Nothobranchius furzeri: one gene and its partner. The protein of the gene in region 2 purifies or fractionates together with the protein of the main gene of each other region. This does not show direct contact. Links are inferred from orthologs where the notes say so. Each region holds a gene or a part of one and is shown on either strand. Other genes may lie near its edges.

The links. Proteins that work in one complex are often made in the same cells at the same time.
Region 1: the proteins of sf3b1 (region 2) and snrpd2 fractionate together in Homo sapiens (co-fractionation; 5 studies listed by BioGRID and IntAct, with this or other methods). This does not show direct contact. The link is inferred for Nothobranchius furzeri from reciprocal best matches to the Homo sapiens genes SF3B1 and SNRPD2.

What each region holds. Positions count from the first base shown.
Region 1 is NC_091753.1:27,245,832-27,249,585, reverse strand, and holds the start of snrpd2 (small nuclear ribonucleoprotein Sm D2), read right to left. Parts: upstream 2,513-3,754; 5' UTR 2,377-2,512; coding exon 2,375-2,376; intron 1,405-2,374; coding exon 1,225-1,404; intron 1-1,224. UniProt on the Homo sapiens protein: Plays a role in pre-mRNA splicing as a core component of the spliceosomal U1, U2, U4 and U5 small nuclear ribonucleoproteins (snRNPs), the building blocks of the spliceosome.
Region 2 is NC_091754.1:36,036,691-36,040,344, forward strand, and holds part of sf3b1 (splicing factor 3B subunit 1), read right to left. Parts: intron 3,416-3,654; coding exon 3,236-3,415; intron 3,165-3,235; coding exon 3,078-3,164; intron 2,744-3,077; coding exon 2,473-2,743; intron 1-2,472. UniProt on the Homo sapiens protein: Component of the 17S U2 SnRNP complex of the spliceosome, a large ribonucleoprotein complex that removes introns from transcribed pre-mRNAs.

The DNA.
Region 1 (3,754 bases), on a different chromosome or scaffold from region 2:
TCAAGTTACCAAGTTTAAATAAACCAAAAACACCCGGCAGCAAACAGACCAGCAGGGAGGAGAGACTGCTACCACCAAAACAGCTCTCCTCATGTCTGAAAGAAGCTCCTTTATGAAGGGAGAAGCGCTCCCGGTGATTTTCTACATCTGCGATAGACATGAAGCAGCGCATCTGACCCCGGAAGTTGTTGTCCGTTGCCGGGAGACGAAGGGGAAAAACAGGAAAATAATCTAGTAGTGGACGGACATTGTTCCGGGTCTTCGGTATTTGGCGGAGATGTTAGTGAAGGCGGAGAAGAGGGCAAACTAGAGGAAAAACAGGCAGATTCCTCCTCTATTTACAAACTCCTGGGGATGCAACAAGTGGGCGCGGTGCGTCAACTTCCGGATCTGACGTCGACAAATTTTTAGAATCGAGCCGTCGACTTCGTCGAGGCTTCGCTACAGCCCTAGTTTTAGGTGCCTACCTCCATTTGACTGTTTAGCATTTGTATTAACAGGTTACTACAGGGGTGCCCAATCCTGGTCCTGGAGGGCAGGTATCCAGCAGGTTTTGTGTTTTTTCTGCTCCAACAGACATGATTCAGTGGTTGAAACACCTGTGCAGCAGCTCATCAGGCTCTGCAGAAGCCAGTTAATTAGCTGCTGATTGAAATCAGGTGTGTTGAAGCGGAGTTCAAACTAAAACATGCAGGACCAGGATTCCGGCACCCCTGGGTTACAAAGTTAACTAAAAGCTGTTTGATAAGCTATCATCGGGTATATTAGGGCACCCTGGTGCAATAAGCTATACTTTTATGCATGATGACATGATTAGTTGACTAATCGTCAACAAAACTGGTGATTAGTCTACTATTAAAATTGTCTTTTGTGGCAGCCATACCTAAATGTGATTTTAAGTTTTTTGACTCTGCCATCCAAATGCATAAATGCATGGTGGCGCAGTTGTTAGCACTGTTGCCTCGCAGCAAGAAGGTTGCAGGTTCGAAACTCGGCTGTGGCCTTTCTGCGTGGAGTTGAGTGTTCTCCCCATGCATGCATGGGTTTCCTCCAGGTACTCCGGTTTCCCCTACAGATCACAACATGCCCTACAAGTAAAAAATTGTACGTCGCTATGGATAAAAGCGTCTGCAAATAAATAAACATAAAAAGCTAAATGTAAAATTTTCTCGCATAGATGCAGAACTCTGAATGTTTTTTTTTAGATGAAAATTCTTTCAATACCTGTCAAAAGCTTTAACTCTTCCAAGCAGCTTCTTATTGTTGCGGCAGTTGATGAGGACTTGAGTGTTGTTTTTCACTGACTGGGTGAGCACCGACAGGGGGCCGGTGTTGAACTCCTCCTCCTCCCGCTTCTGGAGTTCTTCTGGTGTCATCTCTGATTTGGGCTTCGTCAACAGACTCCTACACAAAAGCAGACACGATACTAGATCATTTGCTTCTGCACAGATAACGGTCACAAGTCCTTTTAGCGGTTTGCTTTTAAAACTTACATGATTACAAGATAATAAATGAAAACAAGGCACCCTAACTAAATGCAATTCAAGAAACCTGACTTTAACCGAGATTAAAATTTAAATCTCTCAGTAGAAGAGTGGGGAAGTTCCCATAGGCATTTAACAAAACTAATAACTTATTTTAAAAAATTTACACCAAGCTACTTTTAGCAATAGCCAAATATTCAACAATATCAGACATACACGTTTAATTTACTGGTTAGCAATCAGAAGTTAAAAAAAATTGAAGAGATTAGAATGACAAGTTTTGCATTAACAATTAACTGTTTCTCTGAGTTTCTTCATAACCTTCCTTTACTCTTTTGTATCAAGCAATGGATTTCTTAGAAGATTGATTAAAAAAAACATGTGGAACATCCTTGAGACAGAACGTCGCTAACAATGATGTTCTGAATTAAAATAAGCTCATATGCTTCAAAAACATAAAGCCGACTTCGTTACTAGGCTAATATCCTGACAATTTCATTCTCCAAACGCACATTTTAGAAAGTTGGTCAAACTGTTATCTACGGGGAACACAATTTGACTCAACACCGGTCTCCTTAATCGTGCTGCTAATATTTCGCAATTGGCAAACATAAAATTTAAACAATCGTAGCATCATTAACGATCACCAACGTAACTACTACATATATTTTATTGCAGTAATTACCCTGTACATATTAGGTTAATGGTGAGTAAAATATGAAAAGCGATAGCACGTTTAGAAAGCAACACAACGTGAGCTAACTAGCATTCATCAGTGAAAAGGCTAAACATGTTAGCATTCGAGAAAAGACGCTGCGACTCGTAGCTGATACTCTATCTCAAAAAATGACACTTTCCGAAATGGCTATCTCATCATCAACGACACTTACATGATTGGTGGTTTATAAAAACTGTTTAAAGCTGTTTTTCTCTCGTTTCCACCGTCTAATTCTTATGAGCAACGCTTCTGCCTTCTTCTCGTGGACGAAAACACTTCCGGGTCATTCTCAACGCGCTCTAAACAGTTCGCTATAACTTCCGGGTTACGGAGATTCTGCTCGGTAAGTGTAATGGAAAAAAAATCATCCATAAATGTAAAAATCTTGAAACTATTATTTTCTTAGTTACTTTTTTCCTAAATTCTATCTATCTATCTATCTATCTATCTATCTATCTATCTATCTATCTATCTATCTATCTATCTATCTATCTATCTATCTATCTATCTATCTATCTATCTATCTATCTATCTATCTATCTATCTATCTATCTATCTATCTATCTATCTATCTATCTATCTATCTATCTATCTATCTATCATCATCATCATCATCTATAGTAGTTCTTCAATACAGTTCCAACACAACCAGTGCATAGAACAAGCGTGTAAAAGGTAAGCCCCTCTTTTTTCGTCATTGCTTATTCTTCATACGTCATGAAGCTGATGCCCAACTCTAGCACTCATCAGTCAAGAGGTGAGTCCTTGGATGGGTCACCAGTCTAGCACAGGGCCACATGGAGACAAACAGGGACAAACAAATATGTATTTATATTTAGAGACACAATGGAACCTAAATGTTCTTGTTGTATCCAGTGAAAACCAGTGTATGCATGGCCAGAATGCACTTTGAAGAAAGGCAACCTTGCAACCTTCTTGTTGTGGGGAAGCAGTACCATTTGTACCATGCAGCCCTATATCAAAAACTCTCTCCTCACAAAGTAAAGAGGAAATAAATAAGACTGAGGAAGCAGACCTCTCCGTAGTCTGCAGCCCAAACAGGTAAGCCTTTGTTTCGCTGTTTAACACAGCAAAGGTGTGTGTGTGTGTGTGTGTGTGTGTGTGTGTGTGTGTGTGTGTGTGTGTGTGTGTGTGTGTGTGTGTGTGTGTGTAAAGGAGAGAAACGGGTATATGTGGCAGCAACGAGACACTAAGAGATTGGCTTTCTGGCAAGAGACAGACAGACGCCTATGGGTGCTCAACCCACCCACCTTGTTCCAAAGGTTACAGATCTACCTGTGGAAATCACTTGCTGTAGATAATGGCAGGCTGTGTGTTGCTGGGAGAGGTGAATGAGTGGGATTGGTTTCCAGACTGCACGGTTCTATACCTTTACCAAGCACACTCACCCTAGACTCTTGCATCTTGAGATGCAGACTAAAATGAGCTCAGCGTTACCTTACATGGGATGGAGCTGCATTCTCTAATCTGAACACACTACAGTGGCCCAATTAAGAGAGCAACAAGCATTAAATCAGATGAGTAAGTACAA
Region 2 (3,654 bases):
GCTGTTTTGGTGGTAGCAGTCTCTCCTCCATGCTGGTCTGTTTGCCGCTGGGTGTTTTTGGTTTATTTAAACTTGGTAACTTGAGCTTAACGTTGGTAAAGCTACTGTTAGCATTTTCGCTAACAGCTTCTTGCGTTTGGATAAGCCGTTACGTTTTGGTTTAGAGTTCATCGTTTTTGTGGTGTAGATCTCCCTTTTATTACATTTAGAGTGTTGTGGGTTTTTGGTTTAGTTTAAGATATCACCGTGAGTTTGGTTTAACCGCCCAGTTTAGAGTTTGGACCTTTGCAGATCCTTATTTTGGTCCAGAACCCTGTAATCTTTGCCCAGTGGGACATCCCTACTTATTTGTACTTTTGTTTTAATTCCCCACGGGCAGAATTAGTTTTATTATTCCCAACCTGTGGATGGAAAGATTTATGTTTTTTTGTAGTTGTAAAGAACCCTGATCATCATTTTAACTTTTAAATCCCGCTATTGTCCCTTCCTTTTTGCACACGAGCCAAACTCCCCAGGAAGGGTCATAACACCACTCGCCTCACACACATAAGTGACCAAAACAAAGCAGCATGGAGACACTCCTTCTCCAACCACCTCTCAGGCAGCAGGCTGCATTCCCAAGTTCTACACGTCACCAGAACATAACCAACCGCAACACAATAAAAGCAGTGTTATACAAAATGGAAGGTCTGTAGCGTTTATTCTATTACAGTAACAATTGATCAATTTCTTGGAGGAATTTATTAAGAGATTTTCTTGTTTTTATTAATTATGCAATAAGAAAATAATTACTAGATTAATTGTCTAAATCGGGGGTCGGCAACCCGCGGCTCTGGAGCCACATGTGGCTCTTCCATCCATCTGATGCGGCTCTCTATGCTTGTAAAATAATGAATGGATATTTAAATAAAATGCTTTATATTTTACTGCATTAATTTTACATCTGTAAGCTAATTCTAAATGTAAAGGTTGTCTGCGTAAACCTGAACAGGTCCAACCCAGTCTTACTGTGAGACCGGGTTGACGCGTCACGCTTGTGCGTAATCATAGGCACTTTCCGAGCTGAAGAGGATGTGAGATTCTGGGATTCTCCTCAGACAGGCTCCTGGATGTGTCGCCACATTGGAGACAGGAACAAGCGCTATTCAGCCAAAGTTTCATAATCAGGGAACATTTTCTAAGTGACAAGTCTCGCTTCAGTGGGAGGAATCTTCACGCATGCGCTCTGGTTCTGCGACGCGCTCCAAGCCCCTCTCCACATCTTCAGCTCGCTGTGTACCATACGTATGCGCTGACAGTGAGCTGCGCTGAGCAATGTCCAGCTCAGATGTTCAGATGGGAATCTTTTCTTGAGTGATTTAGCTACATCTGCGATGTGTGTAGAATAAAATGTCAGTTTGTCTGCATGCGTCGGGGTAATTCTTTCTATTCTTTCTCCGTCAAAATAAACGGTCAAATACGGGAACTGTCCGGTCAACACAACACAAGCCCTGCTTTTAACTGTTTTGTTTTCTTGTGAAAATTGTTGCAAAGAGATATAATTTAACTTGATTAACACCAGAGCCAGGCGCACTGCGTCGTTATCTCCGCTGCTGTAAATGAGGGAAAAACAAACTGATCGGATCCTTTTCTGACCTTCCCCACCTACAAAGTTTAATTACAACAATCAAACGTGACAGAGCCTGGATTTGTATTCTGAACAGTCTAAACATGTTGTAAAAAGAAACGTATGACAAAAGTGGCACCTGCTCAGTAAAACCAACAGGGTGAAAAATATCAAAATATTGTAGGCAGAGACGGGCTACAACTTCTGGATCCACTTTATATAAATCATTTTATTGATTATCTTTTTTATGAAAGATAACTTTGACGTACACGAGCGACCGGTACCGACTGCTGTCACCTGTTGTGATTGGTTAAGGCAGCGCTCTGCTGTCTGAGGGTAGGCCCCGCCCACAACGCCGCGGCTGCTGTGGCTCCCAGTGTTTTCTTTACTGTGGGAAACGGGTAATAATGGCTCTTTGATGGGAACAGGTTGTCGACCCCTGCTCTAGTCACTAGAATAGTTGACTATTCGATAAAAAATCGTCAGGATAATCGTTTTAAAAATAATCGTTTACCCCCAGCCCTAACCTCCACAGAAACTACTGCAGATCGTTATGGTTACCGTTTTGGTAAGAGGACTGTATTTACAGAGTTCCAGAACCTCACAAGGCGCTTGACAACAGTCTTTCACCTAAATCTCAGGGTTAGTTTAAAAGGTTATGCTTGCTGATTTATAAGGTTGTATCTGATCCTTTTCACCCAATGTGATGGAACGTCCCCACTAATAATAATAATGTCATTTATAAAGGATTAAACCTTTTCTTTTTTACTCAGTGTAAAACACACCGAGTCATGGCTTTAACGCGATCACCTGTAACAGAACGTGATTGGTGCTTTAAAAGATTTGTGGATGAGGGTCCGACTGACCGTGTTCGATAATCTCCACCAAGCTACGCAGATGAGGCAGAATGGCGCAGCCCATCAGGATGGCGATCTGCTGTACTATCTTGATGCCCGTGTGTCGCGCCTGCCACGACTTCTTGCTTTTGCACACAGCTTTGAGGAAGGGCAGGAGGGAGGGGATACCAAGAGCCGAGGCCACCACCGCGAAGGCTCGAGCAGTCGTGTTTCTGACATACTCATCCATGTTGTCAATATCAGGTCGCATTGTGGAAATCATTGTAGCCAAACCAGCAGCCTTAAAAACATGAGAAAAACAAGTTCACAGGTTACTCTGATTACCACTGAAAGCCCAAACACAGCATCAGTCAGCAGAACAAACACTTTATAACTATGACTGTGCACTCATGCTGAAGTATTTAACAGATGCTGCTTCTTTGCAGAGGAACTGTAACCAACGGGTGCAGGTTGAGAACAGACTAGGCATTAAGGTCAGGTCTGCATGCTCTCATGTTGGTATCAATCTGGCGAACAACTAGCCCTGATCAGACCACAAACTGGTCAACCAGGCGAGAAAGGTTCGCGTCATTTCTCTGTTACATCAACAAAAGCAAATGGCAGCTAAACAATACCTTCGCTAAATTAGAGATGATCTCTCTGCCTTCAACTCGAGCATAGTAGTCCTCATCAATGAGCAGAGGCTCAATCACCACGAGAATCTGAAGAGAAAAGCTCAGGTTAGAGCGCCAACATCCATAGAGACAAATGCACGTCTCCGCAGTGAACCCACCTTGTGCACATACGGCCGAACCAGGTCATCCAGTTTGTAGAGAATCCTGTCGATAACTTTCACCAGCAGGTGGCGCTCCTGGTCTTCCAAGGTAGGCGACATGAGCAGCGGCAGGATCTGATTGAACAGGGGACCAGCTCCAAACTCACGGGCTTTGTCTGTGATTTGACGCAGAGCCGCCTGATAAAGAAAAGAGACGCGTCAGATAAAAGCCTCACAAACACACAGAAGTACTTTGGTTTAGCGGTTGCACCAACTGCCTGCTGAAGCAGACCTTTTCTCTGCTACGTGGAACAAACTGGCACCTGCTGATCTTTTTATTTGCACTTTGTGAAAAAAAAATACTAGCTGTAGTTTATAAACCTAAACAAACGAACATCACTATACAGAAGGTCACAGCAAAAAGTCTGTGGGGGTCA